4 linked regions of the Schizosaccharomyces pombe genome follow. The gene in region 4 interacts genetically with the main gene of each other region. Each region holds a gene or a part of one and is shown on either strand. Other genes may lie near its edges.

Region 1 (8,375 bases), on a different chromosome or scaffold from region 4:
TCACATATGGGAGAGATTAGTATCAGTATAATCATCGCGCTTGTTATCTAAATTAAATGAACCTAAATTATCAAGCTCATCTTGTTTTTCTTTTTTTCTGCTTCGTACTCCAAGTCCAAATGGAATAACCAGCACTAAAAACCCTGTAAAAGCCATCACCACACCTGAAAAAGAAAAGGAAATTAATAAATGAAATTTCAAATACCTAGTTTGAACTATAAATATACTTACCTGCTGCTTTTCTTATTTGGTCCCATTTCTGCCTCTCATTTTCAGCCCTCAATTTACCTAACGAAACGGCTAATAAATTGTGTAGTTCAACAATTCTTGCACTCAATTGCTGGACTTCATTCTTTGTATCATTTTTCCGATTTTCAAACTCCATTTTGCTTTCGGTATTAAGCTTGTTTAACTGCTCGTGAACCAATTGTTCCAAACTTTCTACTTCCCTTTGGTTTGAAAACAAGCCTGAACGTAACGAACTGATTTGATCTTTTCTCATATTTATTTTCTCTGAGCGAAGCTCCGACAAAGCTGTACGAAACAAATAGGAGCACTATACAAGTTAGCTATGACAGTTCATTTGAAAGCAAAAAAAACCGTCAATCTATAATTAAAGATAAATTTAAAGACGGAAGGATTCTGTAGCTTAATAAATCATACGTACATTTTCAAAATCAGCTTCAGACAGGTAATTGAGATGACTATGTCGCAGCATATCAGTAACAAACATATTCGTGACTTCGAGAAGACCCTCGGCCTCTTTTTCTGTATATCCTTTATCCATTAAAGTTTTCAAAAATGTAAATGTGTTGAAGTGATATCCTTCAAGGTCTCTGAAAGGACGATTTTCGTGATTGGCATTTACTACTGAAAGACCCTTTTCCATTTCACCTGCATCTGTCCCTTCTGATGCATAAAATCGAATTTGCTTCGTTAAGGATAAAGAATAAGGAATTAAACGAAAAGTATTGATACTATGCACTTTAATCCCATGCAAGGTAATTCGGGATCGATTAACATCTATAGCTTTTCGTAGCAAAGAGAACATTTTGTCAAGCTACCAAATTTTGATTATAAATTAAGCAACTTATTAACAGACATAATTAATTTTTGTTAAAAATTGGGTACGATGATTGTGGTGAATGTTAAATGTACATATCAGAAGGCGTAAAGGAGTAGTATGGGTGTACCCATAGAAAATAATAATGATGAAAATGCATTGATAAGTGGTTTTGATTATTTCCTTATAAGGTTTAAAATGTTAAAGGATATAAAAGAAAATATTTCTACAATTCTAATTATACGTCAAATTGAACGAGGGCAGTGAAGCTTTATTGTTATTCAGCATCTTCAGGAAATTTGACAACAGAACTTCCGAAGCATTGGATCAGGACAAAGAGCTGATGAGTAACAAGTAATATTCCACTTAGCATAAACCGAGGTGCAAACACTTTCCAAACCATCAAATGGCGACGAAAAAATCCAGCAAAGAAGACAGTACTCGTCGAGATCAATAGGTTATAAAGAATGAAAGAAAAGGAGAATCGAAACAAGTTTATCAAGAATCTATTTTTCTTGGAAAGTGGTTCGAATGAAAATAGTGGAATCGAAATGCAAGTAAGTATCGGCGCACCGACCGTATGCAAAAACATGAATATAGCGCTTATAGCCTGGTTTTCAGCAGATTTTGAATGAATGAATGCAAAATTCCAATCAAGAGACGATATAGCAGCCTGATTTCCCGTTGTAAAAAAATGCGACAATCCCAATAAACCTAGCGTTACCGAAAAGAAGTTGTGACCAACACTTGGCTGCCATTGTTTAAGTTGAATAAGAAGCAGGATTTGTAAAAAGCAAGAAAATAAAGAGAGATGTCCCAGGGGCCTTTGCAAAAATGAGAGAAAAGAATATAGTAATGCAAAAACGAAATATGATCTTTCGATGACATTTATTTTAGCAAACTTGGATCGCGACAGTAAGAAGAATTGCCATATCAAAACACCAAGAATGCAAATTACGTAAGTATTTGCAAGTGAGTATAAAACATGATGATACTGCTTTTCTAATAAAGCATCATTCGCGAAAACATGATGAGCAATCCAAAATATTGAAGATATTAACTCGAAAAAATAGAGGATTGAAAGATGATAAAGTTTTAAAGAAAGGCCAAGAACGCGTCGCAAGTGAAGTTGCAGAATGAGAGGCAATATAATAGAAGAAAGAGCCATTAACGCCAAAACAATCAAGGTTCTGAGGCTGTTATCAGGAGTTGAGATGTACGTGCTAACACAAAACGCACCTTGCTCTTCGCGACAGTTAGTTACGTACGAAGAAATTACCTGTAAAAGGATAAATGCCAATGCAGAGTAAGTAGAGCATGCAAAAAGGGGGCTCATTTCGGAAAAGCATTTGCAAAACATAACTAGTCCAATAGTGATGATCAAGAAGTGACAAAGGCGATCTTCCCATACTGTAAAAGAGTTGGAACCAAAACTGCAAACGTGTAGAAAAGTTATAAAAATACTAAAGTAGTCCAACTTGACAAAACCTTTAAAGTACTCCATCAACTTCTGATTAAAGGAATTTAACAGGATGTAAAATGAAGGAAGTAATACATAGAATTCCGCCGGGAACGGAGAATGAAGTTCGTTGTTTGCCAAAATTAAAATTAAGCAAACCGGCAAACATTTCATGACTGATGGAGCCATATTGGCAGACATCCTAAAAATCACCGACTTATCTTGCATCAACAAAGCCAAGTTAAATCCACCTATAATAAGAAGTAAAAATCCAATGATCATAGGGAAAAGACTAAACTCCGCCCAAATTGCTTTAAAGTAAGAGAATGCGTCTCTTGCATAGTCAAAGTCTAAAAAGTATTGATCTAAATAAGAGTTATTATTTTTATGGACAGAGGACGAAAGGAAGTCAGAAGCATCTAAATCATACTCGCTAAAGAAGCGATTGAGTTGACCGATATTAATCTTTTGGGCTTTCGACAAATATTCATCTCCATAGTAGTAAAAAGGTTCTGGAATTAAGGTACCAAGGTTGCCATACGGAATGGGATTTCCTAAGAGCAAACTTAAGGTAGGAACTAGATCTACCTGATTTGCACTTAGTACTTTACCTGGTTGTTTCAAATAGCCAAAGGTTGGCTTTTTGCTATACATCCACAGTACAGAGTTAATTTCATCGAATGAATCACCACCGTGATTTCCTTTGTTGTCCATACCATGATCTCCCATGACAATGAGTAATGTACTATCATCCAGTAGATCCATCATTTCTTTCACACACCTGTCCATTTGATTCAGTTTATCTCGCATTGTTGGATGATCAGGTCCCAAGCGGTGACCAACGTGGTCAACGCCCAAGTAGTGTGCTATTAGGACATCAAAGTTGGCATCTTTTATATAATCGAATACATATTGATTAACCTTATTATCTACTCCATGAAGATCAGGTACATTGAAAGAAAAAGCAGGTTGAGAGAGTGTCTCATTCAAATAATCATGGAACAATACGTCCCAAGTATCATCACCTAGCAATACGATTTGTTTATCTAATGATTTCCATTGGAGAAGCAGATTATCCTCATCAATATTTGTTCCAGCGAAGTTAGAACCAAGATCAATAAAAGTTGGTAACGAACCAGTAGTGAGACCTTTCAATCTTTGAGATGTAGTAGTTGGGGCATCTGCTATGAATTGTGTTAAGTAAGAGTTTTCTGGATGAAGGACAGAAGTTTCGTATGGAGTCGTGAATGCATTATGGTAATAATTGCTATCATTATAAGGTATTAAAAAGTCATAACGGAGAGCATCTATGATGACAATAACGGCCCGTTCAAATATTTTGGGAGCCCAACAACCTGATGAATTTTTCCATTCGCGCACATCGGCAGGCGGGTTTTCGCATAAAGACGTTTGGTTTAAAACAGCTCTTCGTAAAAGGAACCCGTCGGTGAACGATTTCAAGCCGTAAAAATTCGAAATTAGTATAATCGCGAAAAAGATGCAAGCTTGAATATATTTCCAAGTTCCAATGGTACTGGTAAGTTTTTTTTTACATTTTACCCTTTTTTCCTCCATGAATACTCCTTCTCTTTGATATATTACTTAAACGATTGAAGAAGGTAAATCGCAAGAACAAGTTCCGTGGTGAGGTTTAAGACATGTAAACATTGTAATGCATTCACCAAAGAAGATGGAAATAGGCTTAAAGTGACTGATAATTGGTTATGGAAATTTACCAAGAGTGAATTTTTAATTTTTAAATAAAAGCTTTCGCAACAAATTTAACTAGTAAGATCAACTTGCTTTTACGAGATGATTCTTACGGCAACCTAACTCTGTCGATTGATGCTATATATTTACTAGTTTTATTTTTAAAAATGTTAACTTTTCTCCTTTGTTGTAATTGTAATAACTTAATAGAAATAAACTGACAAACATCCCAAAGGGTAATATACATGTGTACGTAAAAACATCAACAAACATTAACACGGAAGAAAAAAGTAAAAACTTGAAAGTGTAATTTCCGTGAATCGTCAAAGAGGTATGTTTCCTATATGACTAGTGTCGTATAAATTTTCCGAGAGCTGAACTTCTACAGAAATAACTTTTCCGGTATAAACAGTAAGCTGTGAAATCACCAGTTAGCTAAAAACATAATCTTATAGATGCTTACCATTATTTTAAATCTTTTAAAAGGATTTTCTTCTCCAGGATACAATGGGCAAACACTCATTCCCAATAAAGGAGCATCCACCAAATGAGTGAGGCGAATTTTATGGGGAACAAATGAGTAAACATAAATTGGATTTCCATTGAGAATTTTTGTTGTACAAATCAAGCGAAGCAATGTTAATTGACCACTCTGACTGGCACAAACAACTGACTGTAATTCGGGAATACATTCTATCATATTGATTCTATGTAAAGCTTGAAACCTGGGGGTAATGGGTTCCTCAAAGCAATTTTTACTGCTCACCAAAGGAAATATTTGTGAATTTCCCATGTAAGCACATAAAACTATTGAAAATTTCGTAGTAAAAATGAATAGTTCTTCAGGTTTCTGCCGCAGATAAGTACGAAAATAATTTTTTACCTTCGTCTTCTAAGTATGTTAATTAAAATGTATTTTAAATAACTCGTTTACAAGGAGCCTTACCGGAAGTTCATCCTGTATATGAACATAGTATTCACCTTCAAAAACCGCGTCGTCATCGAAATCTTCTTCATGCGATAATAAGAAAGCTGAACTGGACATGATGGGTGGCTTCCAAGGGCTTTGGCCAAATTGTTGCGCCGGAATAAGAGATCCCGGTTTGTGCTTTAGGATGGAAATATGATAGAACGCATTTTTATCAATGAACTTAACTCCCCAAATACTAGAAAGTTAGTAATTAGTTTTCGAAATTCAGCTTTTTATTACAACCTTAACTTTGTATAAAACTTGCAAAGGCAACTTAATGAAGTTATATCCCATATCTGAAGTGATCGATCAATAGATCCACTCAGTAATAATGTTCCTGAAGAATTAAATGTTATACACGGTACTAAAATCATTAGACAATGTAAAGTATTCGTAACCGCATACTATTATGTTCATGTCCTTCCAGTACTAATGTCTCTTGTCTAAACCAAGGAGAATGGTAATCCTCTTTAAATCGTTTAAATTCAGGCGACAGATGAAATCTGAATTACAATTAGAAGATCGGTATTATTGAATGAGCGTACAAATTAACATTGTGAGAATTGGAAGATATGCCAAGGATCCTAAGAGGTGAAACTGCTAGTCCCCAAGCTGAATGCTGAACATCATAAATTATAGGCTCTCGATTTAACTTTTGAACATCGTATATCGCTACTTTTCCACAATCATTGGCGGTAATAAAATACTCCAAATCTCCAATTAATTCACAACGAACATTGTTGATGACATTTGGCATGTCTTGATTGATATCTCCTTGCCGCGAGGAAGATGCTTCATGAGGACAATGCAAATAAAAGCAAGGTTCAGGTTCTGAAGCATCTGATGAGATCTCCTTTAAGTCATAAACAAGAACTTCATCTATGTTACGTATTAGCTTTTATAATTACTTAAAAGAAATGATAAAGGGAGAACTCTTGTAATATAACATAGCATAACATACCGCCTACAACCACAAACAGAAAATTCTTCGTTTTACTACATGAAATCAGTGAATTTCTCCAAAAATGAAAGGATTTCTCTTTCAATGTGAATAATTCTTTAACATTAATCTAAAATGATATATCAGTAAAAGACAATCGAATTTTGTAAACAAAGCAGTACATATAGATAGTTTAGGAATTCATCAACTGTTAGGTCTCTTTGCATTATTTTATAAATATTCTTTTTTAGCAAACAATTTGCTTAAAAACGTCAAGGGCACATTAATGTTCATTTGATGTGGTTGTGAGTTCTTGTATTACACCCATTAGGAACCCTATTCATAACAACTTCGACGGCATTTCCCATAAAATCAACAACGAAAGCCTTCAAAAGCTTTGGAGATTTAGTTTAGACGGGCAATAAAGTATGGCTGCTACAACGGCTAGTTGTATTTCTTTCAGTCAATTCCAAAGACTAAAGAAACTTATTGATTCCCCAGCGTCTAAACACAAACCTATGGAATTCAAAGGAACTTCTAAAGATGATTTGGAGGACGATTTGAATAGTTTTTTCGATTGCGAAGAAGAATTGTTTCTTTCCGCTAATAAAATATTCTACTCAAAGTTAAGAGTTTATCAAACTGTCCGTCACTGGAGCCTCAAACAAAATTGGTCTTCCATGAGTTTGGACCAGAAGCGCAATTTTATCCTTCATTGCCATCACGAACTCTCTTCGGGTGAATTGCTGCGCAACAGCGCTCTTTACTCGATCCTGTACATAGCAGCTGGTGCTTACGATTCCGTTGGCAGTTTTGAAGAACACGTCCATAGTATTTCAGAAAACGTTTATCTGCTGCGAGAGTTTGATATTCCTAAGACTGTTTATTCTCTTTTTATCGAATGGAATCGTACCCGTAAACACAGCTTTCTGGATAACAGTAGAGACGAAGGTTTTCTTAATTTACTATTATCTCTAATGTTCTTTTTTTTGACTCTCAACAATACTGATAAAACGTGGATTCATTCTATCCGATCATTAAATCCCCCGGTATTGCCTACATTAGTAAAACTATTTATTGACATAACCAGCGATTATCAGTTGAACCTCGATAAGGTTATTCATTCATCTCTAAAAAAATTATCCTTTTTGATTTTTAAAGTTTGCATTCGTCTTTGGGGATCTCAGTCTTATTTACAGGAAAAAAAGGCTGGGTTGGCCGAAGTTTTAAACATCTCTACGTCTCAGCAAAAGCCAAAAACCACAGCATTAGACTACGAAGTTTTTCGTCATGAAATGGCTACTAAGTTTTCTTCTTTTGCTGATTCTTATTACCCTGTACCACTTGATCGTGAACAAGCACACATACTACCTACTCTCAATACAGACTCTTTTCATAAATCATCCTTTATATCTAGTACCCGACTTTGCTCACCCGAAAATCCATCACTTTTGGTGAATACTGCAAAAACCAGCAAAATGTCCGCTCGAAGGGAACAATTTCAAACTAACCAAAATTTACCATTTTGCTTTACCCCTAACTTGGAGAAGCTTACAATACCTTACAGTGTTACAGAGGCTGCCAATGTTTTCCAAAATAAAACGAAGAGAACTCTAGCGGTTGAACAATTGTTATCTGAAAGAGAGCTTTTACGTCGCTTTACTTTGCAGCAACGACTCGTTGCAGATCTGCATGAGTTTTACAATTCAGTGAAGGGACCTGCTCATTCATTTGAAACAGAAGATCCTGTTCTTAAATTTGTCTCTCAATCCTATGATGACTTATTCCCGTATATGGATAATTTTATTCAGTTAGCAGTCCAACTGTTTTACCATATTTCAAAAAAAGTTAATTGCCTTTACGTAGAGGCTTTCTCTTCTTCAGACGCTGTTTTACAACGAATTCAAGACAATGCAGTTGTAGACTCGCCTACTGAAGAATTAAGTGAACAGGCTGCTAGGAATCGTAAGTCTAATGTAAAAATTGAATATACGGAAGACTTTGCAACAGGATTCGCAATTTCGGGTGAGATTTCTCATTCAATAAATAACCTCGAATTTGTGCTATATTCTTTGTCAAGTCTATTTTTGATGATGTTGAAATGGTTTCGCTTGTCTCATGTGCTACGTTTTGAAAGATTAGCATTTTTATTGTATGAAAATCATTTTTTGGAAATTTTCAATCGTCACCTTACAGAAGGGGATTGTAATAGGAATACCGAAAAGGATGTAAA
Region 2 (8,236 bases), on a different chromosome or scaffold from region 4:
GACACCTTAATTGTCCTGCAAAATCGATCGTACCTTCAAGATAGTTCATGGTATGCTTGCTCTTTCTCAAAACAGTAAAGTTGCTTTTTGTATTATGTGGTTACAACGAATGAATCTCGTTATCGTTCGGTTTACCATAATAACGTGTTGTAATCCAATAGCACGTTGTACATTGATGAATATGAAACAAAAAACAAGCAAAAAAAGAGGCATGAAAATATATAGGCAAATCGGTTGCTCCTTCATTTTCAATAGATGTAAATCAACACCTCAATGTCAAATTCGATTTGAAAATGAAAAAGCGGCTCATTGATGACCTATTAACATTATATAGAAATGATCTTTACAATTAACAGGTTAAGGTACTTCAGCGTTCATAAACGATTAATAATTAATAAAGATTCACCAACAAGGGCTTAATTTAAATGTATGTGACTTAAATCGTATATTAATTGCTTAGGTGGTTTTTTTTTTCATTTGGTGAAATTATCTTTTATTAGATGTGCGATTATCATAAATTTTGCTAGTACTTCATTGCTAAAAGAGGTCAAGTCTCCACTAACGGTATAAAACAAGCATTACACGTATACCTTAAGCAATTTGGGTCGTGCCAAAAGCAATTAGTAATGTGTAGCTGTTAAAGTTATTAGGTTCCATAAAATTAAGAGCTTATTGCTTCAAAGATTTGTCCTTTCCGATTTTAAAAGTTGAGGTCTTCTTAGGGATAATTGCTTCGGCTAATTTATAATAATTTCTAATAGATCACCTTCAGTATTGATAAATTGCCTACTTGAAAAGTCAATGTGCAAAGCGTTTCAGAAAGTAATCATCGATGTCAGCAAAGGTCGTTTTAAAGGATTTCTTATCTCAAGCGCCAATTGATAAGTTAAAAGCTACTTTAAGTGGTCATTTGCCTGTTAGTTGCATAACAATGGATGCTAAAATAACATCATTACAGCCTGGTTACCATTTTCTTTTTTTCTCTTTAGCATCTCCTGAATCAAATTTGAATTCAGATGGATATGAAAGTCTTTATTCCCCAAAGCCAAATAATCCTTTTTCTTTTAAGCGCCGAATATGGTTACATGGAGTCCTTCGTTTTCATAGACCTTTACATCTTTTCCAAACTTCGGAATGTCATGAATTGATTCAGGAAGAATCTGTGAAATCTCCATCAATTACAAAAGAAGTTGAAGCTTGTCTTCCAAAAAGTTCTTTTCTAACAAAGCCTACTTCAGAAAAACAGACAAAGCATGTATATATTCGAAGAAAAATTTACGACAGTCAGCATCAATTATGTATCGAGGAAGATAGAACATTAGCCTATTTAAATCGACAAGAACTGGCTATACCAAAAACTTTACGTAGCAAAAGTATTCCACAACACTCTTGGGTATTCACACCTACACCTATTATGGTGTTTCGCTATTCAGCATTAATGTTTAATGCTCATATGATCCATTGGAATGCGACATACGCTACAAAGTCCGAAAATTATCCAAATCTCGTTCTTCCAGGTCCTCTTCTAGTGACTAGTATGTTAGAGTACTTTCGTTCTGTTTATCCCCAAATGTCAAAGAACATGAAAAGATTTGAGTTTCGATTATTATCTCCCGCGTTTGTCAATCAACCACTACGCATATGTATCTCAGAGACAGGTAACCTATGGATTGATCGATTTACTACAGACCTTGATCCACCGTCTTTGATTGCTAGAGGCCGCGTCTATACCTAACATAACTGAAAAACAATAATAATTAATACCGGCAGAAAAAATATTTCTAAATTACAAATACTACTTACTAATATTAAAATTTAAGTATGTAAAACTAAATCAAATTACATGATAGGTATTCAATTTAAGGTGAAAACACACAAAATTTTTTATTAACATTTAACAGTAACTTGGTAAGAAAAAAAAAACAATATTAACCAATCCCAATAAAAATGAAAACAAAATATAAAAACACTTATGACCGTCCAAAATAAAAAAGGAAACCGTTAGACGGAGAAGGGGTTTGAAATTACACATGAAGCTTGAGGATACGATGAAATGAAGAGGCAAAATTAAGATGATAAATGTACATGAAAGGAGACAAAGGAAAAAGCACTTTCAAAAGGGCTGTGAAATAATAACGGTACCAATTTTTTTCTTGAAAATAATTAGCAAAATGCAACTTTTTTTAAAATTCATAAACAAGGAATCAATGAAGAAGCGTAAGAGGTGAAAAATGACAATAGATAATGCAATAACCTTTTTTTAATATTTGTGGCAGAAGAGACTCCTTTCAATTTATCTACCGTGTTTCACACGGAGATGCCTAACCAAGGCATCATGTCTACTGAAATGGCGTTGATCGCCACAAATCTCACATCGAAATACAGGTCGTGTCTTAGCATGTATCGTATCCTGGTGACGGATCAAATCATACGTCCTAGAAAACACTGTGTTACAAATTTCTCCTGTAACTCTGTTCTGAAGAGTACACCGAACTGGACCAATTTGTTTACCAAATTTAAACTTCCTACGCTTCCTCTGAGCACCCGTAGCAGTAGTAGAAGAATTTGTAGGAGTGGTGTCAACAGGAGCAGATCCGTTGGGGCCATCAGCAGCAGCACCGGTGATGCTTACTTTTTGGTTGGTTGGATTAGGTACCACGGAATGAGAAGACCTAGTATTGTAATACGACTTAACGTCATTTAGGTCATGAGTAGCAGCCGATTGAGAGTGAGGAGCGTTGGAACTGTCTAACTCTGAAGTCGGTAATAAGTTAGGTATATTAGCAGAGGTTTTAACAGGAGAAGTGAGTGGAGGAGAGGAGCTGATCGTAGTATTTGAAGGTACGACAACAGGAGGCTGTGAAGGAGAAAGTGAATGTGGATTTACCGACGTACCAAGCACCAAGGAGGGGCGATGCTTGGCATTGTATGATCGCGTTATCGGAGGAGACAAAGAAGGGATGCGTTGTTTAATAGATTCTTTATTGAAGCTGTCCTGCCGAACATCGGAGTGCATGTTATCATTGACCATAGATACATCCTTCCCATCATATATCTGAGCGGAGTTTTCTTGAGGAAGAAGAGAGTCAGCAGCAGCTCCCAGAGCATGAGAACGGCGTAACGCAGTGCTCGTCGCCGAGTCCTTCATAGGATGCGCCCGCACTTCCGGATTTTGTTCCATACGGGATTGAAGTCCCGTTGGAGATACAAGGGAGGAATCCTTGTTGTCGGTATAAAGGTTCTTAGAGGAATCAAAATTTTGGGTCTTGAGAGGATTGTTAAGGGTAGAGGGATTTGCTTGGTGTTGAGGTGAGACATCTTTTGAGACTCTGTCTGACTTTTGATTGTGACCCAGTGACCTTTTTAAGTCACTTCCATTCTCCAAATAATCGGTTGAAAAAGGACCACTAGGAAGAGAGGCGTCCTTTACAAGTTGTTCGGAGACAGAGTCACTTGCATCCATGGATATCGAGGGCAACGGTTCCATATCCAAAGGTGGAGAATTCATGGGAAATGGATTACCGTTGATGTCGGAAATCGCGCCAGTGCCATCAGCAATCACCTGACTAGGTAAATCGAAAGAGTTGGAGAAGGGCTGGTCATTAATGGTGGAAGCAGATGGAGTAAGAGGAGGAGGGACGGACATGCTTGCAGATGCGTTACTCCCAGCATTTCCACTGGGGGAACTGTTAGCAGTAATAATGTGATTCGTTTGAGCCGAGGTAGGTTCGTTCGACCCGTTGACAGGAGGTGTGGTGATAAATTGATGATTGCTGCCAAGGGACGAAGGGACACTTGGAAAGTTAGCAGCGTTACCATAGTCAGATGCTAAGGGATCAAATGGCATGTCCATCGAGGAATCGGGAATAGTGTCGAGGGAGAAGGGGTCCATTGTGTCAGCATCGTTGTAGACACGAATGGGAACGTTCATCATATAGTCCCAGGAGGACATATCAGATAAATCTGAGTTATTTTCTTCTAACGTAGTAGGGTTAAAACGCTTTAAATTGAGTTCGGGCATCGAGATTTGCTCGAATTCAGCATCCGAGAATGCATTCGGAAATACATTAGTCACAGAGCGACCATTCATTTTGGATTTACGATTTTGTTGCAATTGGGATCCATTAAATTGCCAATCTGGAGTGGGAAAGTTATCGTTCCCATTACTAGAAATTGATCTTGCATATGTGTTGTTTGTAGTGTCCATACTACCCAGCAAAGATGCGCGAGGCAATGTATATATAAAGAATGACGTCAAGCGTCTGATTGAAAAAACCACCCTTGTCAAACAACATTGGTTAGCAATTGACGTCGTTTTACATTGATTGAGCCAATCAGAGGCCGCCAATGAAGTAGCATGGAAATGTCAGAATGCGCTGGCAGTGCTGCTGATTCGTTCTTTTCAAATAAAAGCGCGTAATGTGTAAGCGAACCCCAATTACATTCCTTCAATCTGCGACTTGCGCTCTACGCTGTCCTCTCATATGGAAAGCGAGCTTCCAGTACTTAAATCACCTTATATATCGCGGTTAGTCATAACGCACTAATGAAGGAATACGCTGCAAGCTTCATTCCAAAAGCAATCATAGAATGAGGTCAAAATGAAGAGGCGGAGTCGGGGAAAGATGAGATTGAAGGATGAATCAAGTCCACGATACTTTTAGGTCATATCACGACGTTGATTTGCATCTTACTCTAGTTACTCGTACTTTAGAGATGCGATGGAATTGAGGATGTTTGGTACAACAAATGTCTTGTTTTTCGTTTGCGCCGTGTCACGCTACTCCTAAGATAGCAGCTAAATGAAAAGTCTAAAAACGCTAAAAAAATTTCCTCCCTACATGTTCAAGTCAATCAAGTGCTTCATGTTCCCGATCACCATATCGGCATCGCAATGCAGACCTCGATTGCTTACTTAAACTCGGTAATCTCGTCTTCCGTTACCCTACATGATCACGGAATTCATCAAGTCGTTTTTACTTTTTTTTTTCCTTCCCTTCTTTCTTTCGATGCCGATGATCTTCGCTACTCTGGGGGAGTTTACCGACGATCAAACTCATCATTATTCCACGCTTCCGTCGTGTGACCTTCTCCTTATTCGTGGAGAAGTTAAAGAAAATGCCAGATGCTTCTTGCATAACCCAAAAATTAGTCATCAGCATCATTCTTTCTGGTCCTTAATAGAAGGATGTTTGGAGGCGCTGCAATTTGGCTTACTAGCAATTCTTCAGGGATTATTTTCTCAGTTTGCATGGGAAGCCTGCTCTTGTACCTTTGCATGCATGCTTCTTACTAGCGAACGTACTGAACCGTCTTATCCGTTTTCCGAGATTACAGAGGTCAGTCGTGGTGGGTTGCACTTCGTTAAGTTGAATTAAGTATGCTTAACTCAGGTGAAGTCAATTTGTCGATGTCGATGAGATTGGCTAGTACACGAAGGGGATGCGGAGCTGCTAAGCAGAGGAGTGATTTAACTATGAAACCAATTCGTAGGATAAAGTATACTTTACCGATCGATATGGATGATGCAGATGTAGGAATCAATTATTCTACTTTCTTGTGAAAAGCATAACCCATGTGTATTATTTTCAAACAAGTCAAACAGATGGATAGCCAACACGCATATGACTGCTTACTCAAGTACAAATGACTTTTAGAGCATACCAATTTCAACAGACTTTTATCACTAGTGCAACTATCTTTTTATCAGTTGTAGTCTTTCAAACATCAATAATCACTGGCATTCACACACGGCAATACCAATCATTATGTTATTACGAGAACAACTCGTGAACAAATGGATTCCAGTGTGTTCTAGCATACACATAAATGTCTCGTCTTTCTACTTTATTATTTAGTCGATGAGTGGAACAATTAATAAACTTACCATTCAATATTGCACTGACAAACGTATACTTTTTTATATTTCTCTTTCTTTTCGTAGGCTTTACGTACTTACTCTTCCTTATTTTCCTCTGCAACGAAAAAGAGGATTGGATTATGGGCTTCGTCAAACGTTACAATTACAGAGTAACCTTGTAATAAGATGAAGTAAAATATAAAGTAAACGACGTGTAGTGATAAAAAATCTGTATTTTTGTCAAAGTGAACTTAATTGTTCAACGCGTTCTGATGTCATATGCCCAAAAATAATTCACCTACCCAAGGTAATTGAAAAATTTGTCAATACAAAACGAATGCTTTATAAACACAAAAGAAAACATGTCAGATTAGAGAAAGAGTCGTACGCTCTCATTGCTGAAAGCTTTTTATCCTTAACACTTTACTGGAATTTGTTAGTCCCGTTGACTATGTGGTTGTTAGATACAGATTAGGTAAATTCATTTATTGTGGTATTAAGCAAGGAGCGGAAGAAAGTACGTACTTTTTTACATTGTTAAAAGTTTTATTTGACGAAATTACAACACTTAATAAGTATCTAAGTATGCGATCGAGCTGATTCAATTTGATATCTCTCAATTAGAAAGTTGCGTATTACCTCACAACTACGATGTACCGTACAATTCACAATCTTCCTGGCTATGCAACTGTTTGCTATCAACTAGTCGCTTAGATAACCTTCTTTAACCCCATTCACTAGACACACTTTCCCCATACCCAGAAAGATGACACGAAGAACAGTGTAACGCATCAACTAGGTTAATTTGCTTAAGGTCGCACAAACAATTACCTAAAGAAAAACTTGCGCGTTTACTATATTTGTACTACTTATAAATATCACGATACGATTCGGGTTTAATGAACATTATATTAATCATTTCATTCAATAAATGTATTAATCACAAATCCACGAAGAAAAATTCATCTTCTTGTCAGATGGAGTATTCAGCCGTGATACAACGCGATATGAAAAATTTCTCACAAAGACCAAACGCCTTTTTGTCTATGAATTGCACTAGCAAATTGATAATGCTTCTTCTGATATCGCCCAGATGAAAAACATTCTCGTTTGGCATGTATATATAGAATAGTTATAGTGTACACATAAAATTGATAGACTCGAAACAAAAAATTCGGAGTCGGCAATTGATATCGAATTTAACCACCGAAACCATAAATGGTACGGCCTTGACGCTTCAAAGAGTAGACAACATCCAAAGATGTAACAGTCTTACGCTTGGCATGCTCAGTATAGGTGACAGCATCACGAATAACATTTTCCAAGAAGAGCTTGAGGACAGCACGAGTCTCTTCGTAAACTAAAGCGGAAATACGCTTAACACCACCACGACGAGCAAGACGACGAATGGCAGGCTTAGTAATACCTTGAATATTGTCACGAAGGATCTTACGGTGACGCTTGGCACCACCCTTTCCTAAACCTTTTCCACCTTTACCACGGCCAGACATATTGCACTATTAATATTAACGAAATAGAGTTACTACTATAAACAGTGCTTCTATTGCTAGTAGGGTATGCGGCATTTCACAATATATATTAATGCGCCGTCCCTATTAACTTACGTCAATTTAATTAAAGGGTTAGGGTTGTGATCAAAGTTGGATGTAGGGACATATTTATACAGCGTAATCTCCCTATAATTTGTTTTTATCTACACAGGGCAATTATCAGAACACTAGAAAATAATGGCTCGTACTAAGCAAACTGCACGTAAATCAACTGGTGGTAAGGCTCCTCGTAAGCAACTTGCCTCTAAGGCTGCCCGTAAGGCTGCTCCCGCTACTGGTGGTGTTAAGAAGCCTCATCGTTATCGTCCCGGTACAGTCGCTCTTCGTGAAATTCGTCGTTATCAAAAGTCTACTGAACTTTTGATTCGTAAGCTACCTTTCCAACGCTTGGTCCGTGAAATCGCCCAAGATTTCAAGACTGACTTGCGTTTCCAGTCTTCTGCCATTGGTGCTCTCCAAGAAGCTGTTGAGGCCTATCTTGTCTCTCTATTTGAAGACACTAACTTGTGTGCTATTCACGGAAAGCGTGTAACTATTCAACCCAAGGATATGCAATTGGCTCGTCGTCTTCGCGGTGAACGCTCATAAGCAACTTTACCAAATTGTGGTTGCCATCTGATGGTGTGATTTGGAATCTTTTGGTCGTCTATCCCATTGTAATCCTTCCCTCATTTACTTTGCCTTTCGAAACAAAATTTAACCTTGAGTGTTGTGGAATGTAACAAACGATATGCAAGTCTAATTTTTTGTTTCCGTGAGCTGCACTATCTATTTATATTTTTGTTTTCTTTTTTCGAGTTATACC
Region 3 (7,618 bases), 2.7 Mb from region 4:
TTACAAGTGTAGTTCTTTGGCAACTGAGACTTCCCATTGATTCCTTTCATTAAGTGAATACTCATTATTTAATTAGTGCTAATATATATTCAGTAACTACATAGTTGATTTTCTGTATTGCCCCACCCTTCCCTATTGTTATGTGTATACGCAGGTAGGGTGAGCGAACGCAATGCATGCACCCTTTTAAGAGTCCGCGCTACGCATTTTAACTGCCTTTTGCTGTAATGGCTCCACGTTCTTCCGCAGTACATGTTGCCGTTTATTCTGGGGTTGAAGTCTATGAATGCTTTATTAAAGGTGTCTCTGTGATGCGCAGACGCCGCGATTCCTGGTTGAATGCTACACAAATCTTGAAAGTGGCTGACTTTGACAAACCACAAAGGACAAGGGTTTTAGAAAGACAAGTACAGATTGGTGCGCATGAAAAAGTACAAGGTGGATATGGAAAATATCAGGGTAAGTTGTCTACTGTTACGCGTTGTGACATGATTTGCTATCTTTGAACAACGCGAACAATTGAGTGTTTACTAAGCCAAATCGAGGTATTTTAATACCTTTTTGTATTAAATATCTCTATGGACGCGTCCTCTAAATGATTGACGGTATTAACCAAACTATAGGAACTTGGGTTCCATTTCAGCGTGGGGTCGACCTGGCCACAAAGTATAAGGTTGACGGAATAATGAGCCCAATATTGAGTCTTGACATTGATGAGGGAAAAGCAATTGCTCCAAAGAAGAAGCAGACCAAGCAGAAAAAGCCTTCTGTACGTGGCCGTAGAGGCCGTAAACCGTCGTCACTTTCTAGTAGCACTTTGCATTCCGTCAATGAAAAACAACCGAATTCTTCTATATCACCAACAATTGAGTCATCTATGAATAAAGTGAATTTGCCTGGTGCAGAGGAGCAAGTTTCTGCAACACCTCTGCCAGCGTCTCCTAATGCACTGCTATCACCAAATGATAACACTATAAAACCTGTTGAAGAGTTAGGCATGTTGGAGGCACCGCTTGACAAATATGAAGAGTCACTACTTGACTTCTTTCTTCACCCAGAAGAGGGACGCATTCCTTCCTTCCTGTATTCGCCGCCCCCGGATTTTCAAGTTAACAGTGTTATTGATGATGATGGCCACACTTCTCTTCATTGGGCATGCTCAATGGGACATATAGAGATGATTAAGTTATTACTGAGAGCCAATGCTGACATTGGCGTGTGTAACAGACTGAGTCAAACACCATTGATGAGGAGTGTTATCTTTACCAATAATTATGACTGCCAAACTTTTGGACAAGTGCTTGAGCTTCTCCAGTCTACTATTTATGCTGTTGACACCAATGGTCAGTCAATTTTTCATCATATTGTGCAATCAACCTCAACTCCTTCAAAAGTTGCAGCGGCCAAATACTATTTGGATTGCATATTAGAGAAACTAATATCGATTCAACCATTTGAAAATGTTGTGAGATTGGTAAATCTACAAGATTCAAATGGAGATACCTCTCTATTAATTGCTGCTCGAAATGGAGCCATGGATTGTGTAAACTCTTTATTAAGTTATAACGCCAATCCTTCTATTCCTAACCGACAAAGACGTACAGCTTCCGAGTATCTTTTGGAAGCTGACAAAAAGCCACATTCATTGTTACAGTCAAACTCAAATGCTTCGCATAGTGCTTTTTCATTTTCCGGAATAAGCCCTGCTATTATCTCGCCATCATGCTCATCGCATGCTTTTGTTAAGGCAATTCCTTCAATATCTTCGAAATTTTCTCAATTAGCAGAGGAGTATGAATCTCAGCTTCGAGAAAAAGAAGAAGATTTGATTAGAGCGAATCGTCTCAAGCAAGACACGCTTAATGAAATTTCCAGAACTTATCAGGAATTGACCTTTCTGCAGAAAAATAACCCCACTTATAGTCAATCTATGGAAAACTTGATTCGAGAGGCCCAAGAAACTTACCAGCAGCTTTCGAAGAGGTTACTAATATGGTTGGAAGCACGACAAATCTTTGATTTAGAGAGAAGCCTCAAGCCACATACTTCATTATCTATTAGTTTTCCTTCCGACTTTTTAAAAAAGGAAGACGGACTTTCGTTAAATAACGATTTTAAAAAGCCGGCTTGCAACAACGTGACCAATTCTGATGAATATGAGCAATTAATTAATAAGTTAACTTCTCTCCAAGCTTCCCGCAAAAAAGATACTTTGTATATTAGAAAATTGTATGAAGAACTAGGAATTGATGATACAGTTAATAGTTACCGTCGTCTTATTGCAATGAGTTGTGGCATCAACCCTGAAGATTTGAGTTTGGAAATACTCGATGCTGTGGAAGAAGCATTAACCCGAGAAAAATGAATCTTGGAAACTTTCATTTACATCTTGTCTTAATGTTACGTTCTTTATTTAATGATACGAGTTATGATAGTTAATGATTTTATCCATGACACTCACTGTCAAACTGCATTTATCAACGTTATCATACTTTGATAGAAAAACACGAGTTATTTTATATATTATTTTCGAATGGAATCAAGTGGAAAAAACATATATTGCTCCTTCCTAACAAAACTATTATGTTACTTATTTATGCGCAGCTAAAACAATCTACTATTGTAAAATGATTTATCTCATTTACAGCGCGTGCTTCCATTCATGATTCATCCTTTTTGCATTCGCACGTTAATGATCATCTAAAGGATACCAAGTTACTGAGCTTCACTTTAATTTGAGGGTCCTGTTCAAATAGGTAAAAGAGTGATTAATACAAATAATCAATTATTTAATTGAAAGAAAATCTATAGCAGTATTTCTCGTAAATACGATATAAAAATATGTAACCTATAAACGCAGAAATCGCGTTTTTTTGAATACATTTATTATGTTTACTTAGCATACATAAATTTAATAACGCTGTTGGAATACACAATTTGAATTAACGTACTGGTTTAACTAGAGGACGTTAGTGCAGCCTTTCCCCAGCAGCTACCATACTTACTTTAGTCGTGTATATGTATAATTGAAAATTTCAACAATCTTTTATTTTTGTTCCTTCGTTGAAATATCTACTAAAATATTTTAACTTTGATAATTAAGTATTGCATAAGGAAATGGATGCGTTGAAACTTTTGACAACTAATGTCAAATTTAAGAATAAAGTACCTCAACCTTCTATAAAAGAAAAAGAAGCAAAAAAATTACAAGGTATTACTAAGGGAAAAGCTAAAGTTACTGGTAATAATCCTGTTGATCCAATTGAAGAGTTTCCGGAAGGAATACTTTGTGAAAACTTAAAAAAACAAAACATAACAGAATGTACCACAATTCAAAGATATGCCATTCCAACGATAGGTTCTAAACGAGACCTATTGGCATGTGCACCAACTGGTTCTGGAAAAACTATTGCATATCTATTCCCAATTTTGCAAAAACTTCAGTTACATGTTCCGGGTGGATATAGAGCGATTATCGTAGCGCCGACTAGAGAACTGTGCGAGCAAATATATAGACAGGCAGAAAAGCTGTCTTTTGGAACTTCATTGAAGATAATTGAATTAAGTAAATCTAATGAAAAAATTCAAGAAAAAGCGCCCAAGCTCCGGGAAAAGTATGACATGTGCATAGGCACCCCGATGAGATTAGTACAAGCAATACAAACCGGATTGTCCTTTGAAAAAGTAGAATTCTTTGTTATGGATGAAGCTGATAGACTTTTTGAGCCTGGCTTTATTGAACAAACTGATCATATTCTAAGTGCATGCACCAGCTCTAATATTTGTAAAAGCCTTTTTTCCGCTACTATTCCATCACGCGTCGAAGAGTTAGCTAAAGTCGTAACGGTTGATCCGATTCGAATCATCGTTGGTTTGAAAGATGCAGCCACGGATAGCATCGATCAGAGACTCTTGTTTGTTGGTTCGGATACTTCCAAAATTGTGATTTTGCGTCAAATGATTTCAAATGGAGAGTTAAAGCCTCGAGTCGTAATATTTGTTCAAGATATAGAAAGAGCGAAAGCATTGTACACAGAACTCTTATTTGATGAAATTCACGTTGGTGTCATTCATGGAGAATTACCACAAGCCAAGCGCGAAGAAGCACTTGCGAAATTTCGGAAGGGTGAAATTTGGGTTTTAATAGCAACAGATCTTCTTGCTCGTGGTATCGATTTTCATGGTGTAAAGATGGTCATCAACTTTGACTTTCCTCAAAGTGTTCATAGTTATATTCATCGTATCGGTCGAACTGGGCGTGCAGGAAATACAGGACAGGCCGTTACTTTTTTTACAAAGGAAGATGGTGAATATATCAAGCTTATTGCTGGTGTAATGCGTTCATCAGGTTGCGAGGTTCCAAACTGGGTTATGGCACTTCCTAAACCTAGTAAAGAAATGAAAAAGAAGTTGAAGAAGAGTCCTCCTAAAAGAAAGAGGATTACTACTAGAGCTTCTTACGACAGACAAAAGGAACAGCGTAAGAAGGAGTATATTAAGAAGGTAAAAAAAGAAGCCTCTATCAAAAAGCATAATGAAGCTACTGGAGACAGTGGACAATAGATTGTTGCTACTGAAAGTATTTATATAAAGGGTTTTGGGTTTTAGTTTAGTTTTTGTGTTCATTTAAAAAAGTCATATTCACTCCAAAATACTATTGCTTTGATATAATAGAGCCTTATATTTTTTAGCAATCATATTATTTTCTTTTACTTTTATTTGTGGTAAGAAACTTTTATGTTACTGTGGTACCTGACATATCTAACTTTACATCTTTTGTTTAACAATAATGCAGCAAGTGCTGTACGGCTTTTTAAAACTGATAAAAATCTACACGAGTACAATTAATGTAGGCGTAAACAGGTACAAGGAGATTATTTTATTTTAAGTACCCAACAGGGTTTTTGCAATTGTTATTTTAACTACAATTTGAAAGCTATATTACGTTGCTGACACTGTTTTATAATTTCTCGTTTTCGAAATCACGAGTGTGTTTCAGTAAATATTATATTGTTTTAACTTACTTTATATTGTGTATCATTGAAATTACCTATGAACGGAGAAAAATTGGTGTTACTTAATTGGTATATGGGAGTAGAAACTTCATCACAACCTTAACTTACCGAATCCCATCTCTTTCCAATTCAGGCTATTTCGAAGTATAATGTTTTCCACAAGTCGAATTATCTCTCGTATTAATTACAATTTTTTAAGGAAGAGTCACTACTCTACTAAAACAGTTGCTGAACAAGCCAAGGGTCGTTTCACTCCCTTAATCCAAAAATTATCGGGTATTTTAAACATAACGGTTAATTTGTTTAACTAACTTTTTCAATTTAGCTGTACAACAACCTATTATGTACTGGGCAAATGTTTCGAAAGAGCTGGTTCAACAAGTATATCATTCTCAAAAAATTGCACCCCCTTCCAATACTCATGTAAGCAACTATTTGCTACAAAGAACAGATCCACTAATTTCTCTTTTAGTCTCCCTTCCTTTTTTGGAAAAGTCAATCCTCTGAAGCATGGGGCCGCAATTTTTTCATCGCAGTTGAAATAGTTGGTATTTTCTGCGCTGGCCAGATGGTTGGTCGTAGAAAAATTACTCCATATCATTAAAAAGATGAATTTAATCTTTCATAAAAGCTTCTGATTGCTGGATACTTATGCATTTCAACTACTGCGAATTCATTTTGTCTCCAACATACACCAGGCTGTTCAATAAATGAGACTATTAATAACTATCTTTTGTTAACATATTAAGATGAGGTCTTTATAAAGCATTTCTGTTAATAGGGAAACTAAATTATAGGTCTTAGGTAGCAGGACCTAATTGTAGGCGTAAGTGTTATTACCCGGCACTGTATTGCTTGTTTTTCAATTTTGATTTTGAATAACCATTAATTTAATTGTAAAATCTACCGAAAGCAAATGTCTCATTTTCGCAATCAATCTTAAAATCAGTTTGTACTAATAAATAAATATTGCTAAATTGATGGAGTTACCTCACTGTCAATGAGCGATTTCGCATATTTTAGTTTCCACATCTCCAAACAAAATGGGATAATCCTACTACCAAATACTTTCTGCGCTACACCACCTTTAGGGGAATTTTTGGGTCTGACCTGAAAACATAATCCAAGAAAAAGAATTCAATGTTTAATCAACGCTTAGTACACACATCAAGGATAGCTATTCGTAATGTACAATACTTACGCTATAATAGTACATGTAAGCAAACTTAGGAATAGTCATTTATTTGCTAACGCTTCAGCAATCCCAAATCTTCAAGCAGTTATTCGTAAAAAATTGCTGGATTCCATGAAATCTAGGCAAAAAGATGTTGCGTCTACTTTAAAAGTACGTTGGAAATAAAACGTGACGGTCTACATGTTAAATTGCATCAGTGTTCAAGCAATGTGAAGAGGCTGTCAGAACTATGTTATCTATGTTTGTAGATGAATATGACGCTAACAAGCTTAGGTATTTCTCTCGGAAATCGAATATGCAAACAAGTCGAGTAAGCCAGTTACTACAGACTTAGACGTTCTGCGAGTACTTAAAAAAAACATAAAAAAGCGTAAACAAGCTATTGAACAGTTTCGCAAGGCTGAGCGTCTTGATCTAGCGGAAAAAGAAGAATCTCAGATTCAAACTTTACGACAATTCCTACCTGAACATGCTAGTAATATTTAAAAATCTGTAAAAAGAATACAATCTAGTCATTTAATAAGTCTCTATCCTTCAATGCTTTATCAGCTTACCCTCGAATTTAAAAATATCTTGACTTAAATAACTCAACGTTCTTAATGTGTGCAAGCCACGCTACTAAAGACAGTTTCTTTTGGTTTTTTAATAACAATGTTATACTACGCAGCAATATGACACGATTGATTCTGCAACGTATCATTACATATCCTGTAAATGCTATGCGCTCTTTCAATGTTTTGAATTGAACAGCTAAGACTTATGTAATGAGAAGCTTTCTGAGTTTTTTTACACTGATTCAATTTATGCATGTGAGTTTCCATTCATACAATTAAATTAAACAATCGTCGCTGTTTTCAGCTCTTAACAGCATTATCTTATTATTAGTAATGAAATTTTGGTTAAAATTTGATAAGCGATCGGTATCTTAATTATTTAAAATAAAAGTTAATGCGGTAAAGTAAGTGAAACTATTGCAACGCTTCGATATCTCATCTGTTGAACTATTTGAAGCCGAAAAAATTGGAAACTTTAATTTTTTTCCTTTATAATGAGTATTGTATTAAATGCTTGAATGGTTTATTTAATAGCATTGGAGGTTGGAGGCAAGTAAGCCAATTCCCTCTTTGCGCTCATTATGTGACGGCGACTTACCAGCTAACTCAGCAATTACCAACTACCTTTAAATACGCCAGAAAATTAATAATAGCCCGAAACGTTCTTTGTGCCAGTTTGTAATTTAAATTCGTACAGGCCCATGATTACACGTTTATCGGGCGCTTGCTTGAGGCGATCAGGTGCTAAAAGAAATTGGCCTCGTGAACATTTGGTTCATCGGTCTTTGCTTGCTAGTTTTTCCACTACACAGAGGGTTTTAAAATGCTCAGTCGGACCTTTTCGTACTTCAAAT
Region 4 (7,573 bases):
CAAAATGAATCAGCAGAGATCACGTCGTTTTCGTTCTTCTCGTGAAGCAGCTCTCAAAGAAGAAGAATTACAAGCCTTCATTGAGGAGGCAAAACAACAGGGAATTCCCATCGACGAAAACGCTACGAAGAAAAAATCTTGGGACAGTAATTGCATTACCCCCGGCACACCTTTCATGGACACTTTGGCCAAGTCTCTTCGTTACTACATAATAAATAAACTAAATAGTGATCCGTGCTGGAGAAATGTCAGATTTATACTTTCTGACGCCTCGGTTCCTGGTGAAGGTGAGCATAAGATCATGGAATTTATTCGATCTCAACGAGTGAAACCAGAGTATGATCCAAATACACACCACGTTGTTTACGGTTTAGATGCAGACCTAATTATGCTTGGTTTGGCTACTCATGAACCCCATTTTCGTGTATTGCGTGAAGATGTCTTCTTTCAACAAGGAAGTACTAAAAAGACAAAGGAAGAGCGTCTTGGCATCAAGAGACTTGATGATGTTTCTGAGACCAATAAGGTTCCTGTAAAAAAACCATTTATATGGCTCAACGTTAGCATTTTGAGGGAGTATCTAGAAGTGGAACTTTATGTCCCCAATTTACCTTTTCCATTTGACTTAGAACGTGCGATTGACGACTGGGTCTTCTTTATCTTTTTTGTGGGTAATGATTTTCTTCCTCATTTGCCTAGTTTAGATATTCGTGATGGTGCCGTAGAGCGGTTGACTGAAATATGGCGAGCTAGTCTTCCGCACATGGGTGGTTATCTTACTTTGGATGGTTCTGTTAATTTAGCTCGTGCTGAAGTCATTCTGAGTGCTGTAGGTAACCAGGAAGATGATATTTTTAAGCGTCTTAAACAGCAAGAAGATCGTCGTAACGAAAACTATAGACGCCGTCAACAACGCGAGTCAAATCAGGAATCAGAATCTTATGTTGACAACGTCGTAATTCAGCGTTCAGTTGAGACGCAATCGACAGAAGTTGTTACCTCTTCTAAATCAACTTCTGTTGATACTAAACCGCCAAAGAAAACTCAAAAAATTGACGCTCCGGCTCCAGTGGATTTGGTTAATTTGTCTGAAAAAACTTCAAATCGATCTCTAGGCGCTACTAATAGAGAATTAATTAATAATCGCGCTGCTAACCGTCTTGGACTTTCTAGGGAAGCAGCTGCTGTTTCTTCAGTTAACAAATTGGCGGCCTCTGCATTGAAAGCTCAGTTGGTTTCAAATGAGACACTACAAAATGTTCCTTTGGAAGACAGCATAGCTTCATCCAGTGCATATGAAGATACCGATAGTATTGAATCTAGTACCCCTGTTGTACATCCAATAGACACAAAAGTTTCAAATGTGGGTCAGAAGAGAAAGGCCCCAGATTCGACTGAAGAAAATGAAAATACTGATACAGTCCGCCTGTATGAGCCTGGATACCGCGAACGGTATTATGAACAAAAATTCCACATTTCACCCGATGAACCAGAAAAAATTCGTGAAGCTGTTAAACATTATGTTCATGGATTGTGCTGGGTTCTTTTGTATTATTATCAAGGCTGTCCATCTTGGACCTGGTATTATCCATATCATTATGCTCCTTTTGCCGCTGATTTCAAAGATTTGGCCTCCATAGATGTAAAATTTGAACTAAATCAACCCTTCAAGCCTTACGAACAATTACTAGGCGTTTTACCTGCTGCTAGTAAAAATAATTTACCTGAAAAATTGCAAACTCTTATGACTGATGAAAACTCTGAAATTATTGACTTTTACCCGGAAAATTTTACTATTGATTTAAACGGGAAAAAATTTGAATGGCAGGGAGTTGCTCTTTTACCATTTATAGATGAAAATCGGCTTTTGAATGCTGTATCAAAAATCTATCCTCAACTTACCGAGGAAGAGTCAAAAAGAAATGAGGATGGTTCTACTTTATTATTTATTTCTGAACATCATCCAATGTTTAGCGAACTTGTCAAACAACTTTACTCCAAGAAACGTCAAGGTAAACCACTTAAGTTATCCGGAAAGATGGCACATGGATTGTTTGGCAAAGTTAACACCAATGATTCCGTAATTCCCAATGTATCCGTTCAATGCCCAATTGATGTTACATCCGCTGACGCCCTTCAGAAGTATGGAAGCATAGATGATAATCAATCTATAAGTCTTGTGTTTGAAGTACCTAAATCGCATTTCGTACATAAATCCATGCTTTTAAGGGGAGTGAAAATGCCGAACAGGGTGTTAACCCCAGAAGATATCAACCAAGTACGTGCAGAGAGGAGCTTTTCTTCCCGCCGAAACAATGGTAATTCGTATCGTGGAGGACACCAAAGTTATGGTGTCCGACGCTCTTACCAATCGCAAAGTTACAGTAGTCGACAGAGCTACACTGGAGTTACTAATGGTTTTGCAAACGGTGGAGTTCAACCTCCTTGGTCTGGTAATGGCAATTTTCCTCGTTCTAATGCAAGCTATAACTCTCGCGGCGGCCACGAAGGATACGGCGGGCGCTCGAGAGGTGGTGGTTATTCGAATGGACCGCCAGCTGGTAACCACTATAGTAGTAATCGCGGAAAGGGTTACGGCTATCAGCGAGAATCCTATAACAATAATAACAGGAATGGCTACTATTAATACATTTAAGTTTTCTTAGTACAATTTTGAAAGCGGGTTTGGGATATTGGAGATAAATAATATATCTGATTATTTGAATTTCATTGGCACATTGCATAATTAGTTATGCAATTCAGTTACAAAATGCATGTTGATAACATAAAATTATACTCAACAACTATACCGATCTATTCCTCTTTCTTAAGAGCAGGTAATACTTCTGAATAAACATCAAAGCGGCGTTGAGTATAGATAGGAACGCTGTTTCGAGCGGTAGACATGACAGAGGGATCAATATCTGCGTAAACGATAGACGGTTTTTCATCAGTAGTAGCAATAACTTTTCCGAAAGGGTCTACAACAGTAGAATGTCCCCATGAATGATAGTCAGCGTTCATATCTCTAGCAGGGGCACAGCAAGCAACGAACATCTCATTATCAACTGCTCGGGCTCGTGCAAGTAGTTCCCAATGTAAAGGGCCTGTGGACAAATTAAATGCTCCAGGGTAAATCATCACACTACAGCCATTTCTAGCTGCTATCATAGCGAGTTCCGGAAATCGTATATCGTAACAAATACCCAAACCAAACTTCCCGTATTCAGTGTCAACCATAGTCATGGCGTCGCCAGGTGAAAGACTATCAGATTCGCGGAAGCTAACTCCACCAGGAATGTCAATATCGAATAAATGAATTTTCCGATGAACGGCTATCAATTTTCCAGAAGGATCAAACACCATTGCAGTGTTGTATAATTTGCCATCCTTGCGTTCAGGAATAGAACCGCCAAATAAGTAAGTCTTAGTATCCTACAGTACCGTTAGTCTCACATAATCAACGAAAATTAAATTAACAAACCTTTGCCATAGAGGATAAAGCTTGGTAAGAAGGAGATGATTCCTCTATAGGTTCAGCATACTGATTAAAGTAACCAGTACCATATGGTGAATTGAAAATTTCTGGTAATACAATGACATTAGAACCGTTTTTAGCGGCTTCCAATACTTTTAAACGAGCGAGTTGTAAATTTTCGCTCTTGTCTTTGGTATTGGCAAGCTGAACCAAGCCAATACGAAAAGCACGAAAATCTTTAGGAACCAGAGATGAAGCTGAGACAGACATGATGTTCCTTGTATAGCAAAAATTTAATGAAGGAAAAAAGGATCTTGTGCCTTTTTGAACGAGTCCAAAAAATTTACTGTTCATATAAACAATCACCGACTTGAAATTTTAGGTGAAGGAAGAGGAATGAGTAGAAAGCAAAGATACGAGGGAAGATGTCCTGATTTGTAGGCTAGTCTCAGAATATCTAGCTTGCGATAATTTTGAGCTCCAAAATATTATATTCCTGAAATCTCAATGTAACTTATTAAGCACGTGGCTAGCGAAATCCTCCAATCCAAATTACACCTTGTTATCAAAAAGAAATTTAGCAAGGTGATCAAACTTCCATGTCTTTGATAAGAAGAATGTCGACATCAAACTAGTTTTCAATCTATTGTAAATCTAAAGAAGAAAAAGGGATTTACATTCAAGCAGCAACTACACAAATAGAAATCGTTGTTTGAATGTTACGGAAGGCAAGACCAAAAAAATTGTTTTTGTTTATCTACAAGTTACAAAAGAATGATATTTATTACTGTGTCAACTAGTTTATAGGTAATGATAATATCGTCTGTCATTTTTAGAAAAAGGGGATTCAATTACTATAGATATTCAGTTGTTCCGAATGTGTTGAAAAATAAAATCTTAAGCGTCTTCGTTTCGCAAAAGAAGAAAATAAATGTTATAATAGCTCGAATGAACTGTTTGGCATACATGTTAATTTCACGTATATTGAATATTGATCTTGTTCAATAACAAATGAACTTATGGCATGCATAAGATCCATCAATCGAGAAGAGCCTAAAAATCGCATTTGAATGCGTATTTAAAGAAAGAATAGCTGTATCCTTAGTCAAAAAATTTTGTATTGAAAGAAAAAAGATTAAGAGTATAATGAAAATAAAGAGGAAAAGAAAGTTCGAAAACCAAAAGATGACCAAGAAAATAATGAGTAAATTACGTTGTTTAGCAAACAACCAAAATAAATTGCAATAATAAATTATAGAATTAACACATGATCCGAATAAGAGTAAAGCTGTGGAGATTAATAAGCTCTCCATTCAAATTCGTTGCGCTTCAAATCATGGAATTCACGGAAATCCGAAATGAAATGACACCTGAATAGATATTGAAATAGATGGTAAAAAGAAAGAATGAATTCGATTGGAAAAATGAACATAAAAGATGATTTGATGCAAAAAGTAAAAATGCTTCTCCCTACTCTTTCAAATACTTTGTAAATTGTTTTTGCGAAAGATATGATTGCATATCTGGACTTACATGCTCCGACAACTGTTCGGAGTCAGGAAGCAATAACCCATTCATGAATAAAAGTTCCAAGAGATGTAACTTACTAGTATCACGAGTAACCGCTTTTAAAAACACCACTCCATTCTCTTCAAAATTTGGTTTGGCGGCTAAACCTAGTAATATTTTGGAGATTTTATTTTGCTCCAAACCCTCCAATAAAGTAGCATCAGCATCTACTCCTGCAAAGTCAATGAATGCGTGTTCCACATACTTCTTCTGGGCAAATGCCAACTTCACCTGCGCATTATGCTCCGGCTTTGGCTTCAGCGAAGGATTAGAAAGTCCTTTTTCATAAACACGGTTGACAGCAGCATTACCAATTTTGCACAAAAGGACTTTCGATTGCTGCGATAACGAGTCGAGTAGCAAAGAACGTGTTTTCGATATATGAGTACCTAAAGACCTATGTATACCACTGCATTCAATACAAAGAACTACCGGTATATTGATCGAGCACCAAGTAACATCTTTAACCGAACCGCAATCTGCACACACACTGTTAGAGACATCGGTCTTTCGGAGCATTTGAATGAAAATGTTTGCACTGGCATGGTATCTCTCTAACTGTTCCATATGCATAGTACCCGAATTGTCTGATCGAAAAAATTGTTGAAGGTTCCACGAGCCTTTTCTACTGAAAGCCTTCTTAATACCCGAACCGCTTAATTTTCGGCTGATAGGCGTGGTCTCAAAACTCGTAGAAAATAGTGGAAATACCTTAGAGGGTCGTCTCACACTTGCACTCAACGGCGTTGCAACCCTAGAAAGTTGGAAAGACGAAATCTTTGCTGCTTCGCATATAGCTTCAATCCACGAGTCCATCTCTTCAGCAGACGTGGCTTGATAAAGTCGCTTCAATTTCGGAGTTACAACTTCGAAACAAAACCTCCTTCCCTGTTTGCGAACTTTATCAGCAGATGCATGTTTTAACGAAATGGATGAAACATTAGATTTTACGGAATCTTTCCAGTTTGCATACTCCCATAAAGAACCGTTCTCAACAACAATCCAGTGCTTGTGCCAAGCGGCTTTACTAACCATAGCTAGATCTGTACCAAGTTCGGTAGCACCAAATACTAAGAGTAGACCCTCTTTAAAAATCTTGTCAGGGCTTGCACTACCCCCATTAGAAATGCACTTTCCCTTTATCTCCGTTGTAAAATTGCTTGTCTGGCTAATATCATCTGCAGAGGCTGCCATGCGACGATTTGGCATAGGACTCTGTATTTCATGTAAAGGGAAAGAAGGGGAAATCGGAGATGGTGAAGGCGGTGCCATGGACTTTGGACGACCGCTAGTTTGAATTACCTGGGAACGATGCATCTCTCTGCCCTTGTCACGTCTGGTTGTACTCCATTTTGTTTTTTCAAGTTTTAAATTGAGTTGCTGAAGATTCGGAAGAACACTATTCATCAAATTACTAAAAAGTGCAATATGGTCATATTGGCGATGAAAGTACTGCAAAAAAATACCGTTAATATCATTAATAATGGAACCATCGTGAAGGTCTTGCATAAAACAATAGTAATCATATCGTTGTAAGGCAAACGTTTTCTCTTTTTGAAAAAATTTAGAGTCTCCTCCCTTTTTGTCCTTTTTAGCTGATAGATAACGCGACAAAGATCCATAAAAGCTTTTGCTTTGTTCATCAAATTCAAGTCGTCTATCATCAATTGGCTTAATGAAGCTTGAGTAAATGTTATGAAATGGCTCATATAAAAGATTAATTAAATCATAATTAAGTTTTTGTATAAAGGTGGCATGAATGTCCATAGCCTTGGTTAAATAACTGTCCAGAAGTATGTCCATATTCATACTGGTGCTATTAGAAGCTTCCGAAAGTGTCTCTGACAATTTCATAACAGCAACTTGCGATGCATCGTATGCATCACTTAATTGGACAATACGTTTCATTATTTTTTTGCAATAATACTTCATAAGAGATGATTTTTGCTCAAGCTCATGCAACATAGATCGGAATGACGGTCCATCCTCATAATTCTCTGGGAATATAACGGTCTTGGTATTAATCAATGAAAGCTCCGTCTTCGCTTCCGGAGATTGAGGAGGTTGGGTTTGTACCGTCTGGCTAGTAGTTAGCGGCGACGTGACACGCTGGCTTTCCGAAAAAAATGTATCATCCATAGAATCACCGCAACGAGATACGGTGTAGTAGCTAAATTTTGAGATACGTTCAAGAGTACAGTCTTCAGTAGAGTAAACGGCTATGCAAGAATAGTTTTTGCATTCATACTCCAGAAGTTTACCCGAAGGAGGTGACCACTCCCAATGATATCTGATATTGGCCGCATTTGAATCTGGTAAAAAAATTTCATGTACATTATCCGAAGAAATTAAGTCTGCATATTTCAACTTCTGAGCAAAAAAAGAATCAAACGATTGAAGCGATTCGCAATGGATGAGTACAAGTACTTTCCTCTCCTTCTGCAACTGGAGAACACGATCACTGAATAAAAAGTAGAAGTCTAGCTTGTTTTGAAAACTAAACTTAGGGAGGCACTCTTTTGATGT

The links.
Region 1: mutations in SPOM_SPAC26A3.11 (region 4) and crt10 together harm fitness more than expected from each alone (negative genetic interaction), as found in Schizosaccharomyces pombe (one large-scale study listed by BioGRID).
Region 2: mutations in SPOM_SPAC26A3.11 (region 4) and rsv2 together harm fitness less than expected from each alone (positive genetic interaction), as found in Schizosaccharomyces pombe (one large-scale study listed by BioGRID).
Region 3: mutations in SPOM_SPAC26A3.11 (region 4) and rok1 together harm fitness more than expected from each alone (negative genetic interaction), as found in Schizosaccharomyces pombe (one large-scale study listed by BioGRID).

The regions. Positions count from the first base shown.
Region 1 is NC_003423.3:1,326,788-1,335,162, reverse strand, and holds crt10 (WD repeat protein Crt10, involved in ribosomal RNA decay), read right to left. Parts: upstream 6,448-8,375; 5' UTR 6,370-6,447; coding exon 6,325-6,369; intron 6,273-6,324; coding exon 6,164-6,272; intron 6,118-6,163; exon of another isoform or gene 6,082-6,117; coding exon 5,748-6,081; exon of another isoform or gene 5,706-5,747; coding exon 5,608-5,705; exon of another isoform or gene 5,567-5,607; coding exon 5,446-5,566; exon of another isoform or gene 5,403-5,445; intron 5,399-5,402; coding exon 5,179-5,398; intron 5,125-5,178; coding exon 4,696-5,124; intron 4,649-4,695; coding exon 4,556-4,648; 3' UTR 4,348-4,555; downstream 1-4,347. Other genes in the region: SPOM_SPBC27B12.07 (uncharacterized protein), read right to left, coding at 1-164, 232-556, 668-1,051; gpi13 (pig-O family ethanolamine phosphate transferase), read right to left, coding at 1,341-4,097; FAR complex subunit Csc2, read left to right, coding at 6,571-8,375.
Region 2 is NC_003423.3:3,528,902-3,537,137, reverse strand, and holds rsv2 (DNA-binding transcription factor Rsv2), read right to left. Parts: upstream 4,211-8,236; 5' UTR 4,208-4,210; coding exon 2,294-4,207; 3' UTR 1,850-2,293; downstream 1-1,849. Other genes in the region: signal peptidase complex subunit Spc1, read right to left, coding at 1-49; 3-hydroxyacyl-ACP dehydratase Htd2, read left to right, coding at 833-1,735; SPOM_SPBC1105.13C (uncharacterized protein), read left to right, coding at 4,950-5,378; hhf3 (histone H4 h4.3), read right to left, coding at 7,060-7,371; hht3 (histone H3 h3.3), read left to right, coding at 7,609-8,019.
Region 3 is NC_003424.3:686,366-693,983, forward strand, and holds rok1 (ATP-dependent RNA helicase Rok1), read left to right. Parts: upstream 1-2,987; 5' UTR 2,988-3,117; coding exon 3,118-4,563; 3' UTR 4,564-4,757; downstream 4,758-7,618. Other genes in the region: MBF transcription factor complex subunit Res2, read left to right, coding at 228-459, 624-2,365; atp20 (F0-ATPase subunit G), read left to right, coding at 5,165-5,291, 5,341-5,438, 5,488-5,619; mitochondrial aspartyl/glutamyl-tRNA amidotransferase subunit B-related Aim41, read left to right, coding at 6,202-6,360, 6,484-6,696; lon1 (Lon protease), read left to right, coding at 7,466-7,618.
Region 4 is NC_003424.3:3,352,991-3,360,563, reverse strand, and holds SPOM_SPAC26A3.11 (mitochondrial omega-amidase), read right to left. Parts: upstream 3,888-7,573; 5' UTR 3,833-3,887; coding exon 3,485-3,832; exon of another isoform or gene 3,436-3,484; coding exon 2,815-3,435; 3' UTR 2,662-2,814; downstream 1-2,661. Other genes in the region: 5'-3' exoribonuclease Dhp1, read left to right, coding at 1-2,647; cnt6 (centaurin ADOP ribosylation factor GTPase-activating protein), read right to left, coding at 4,949-7,573.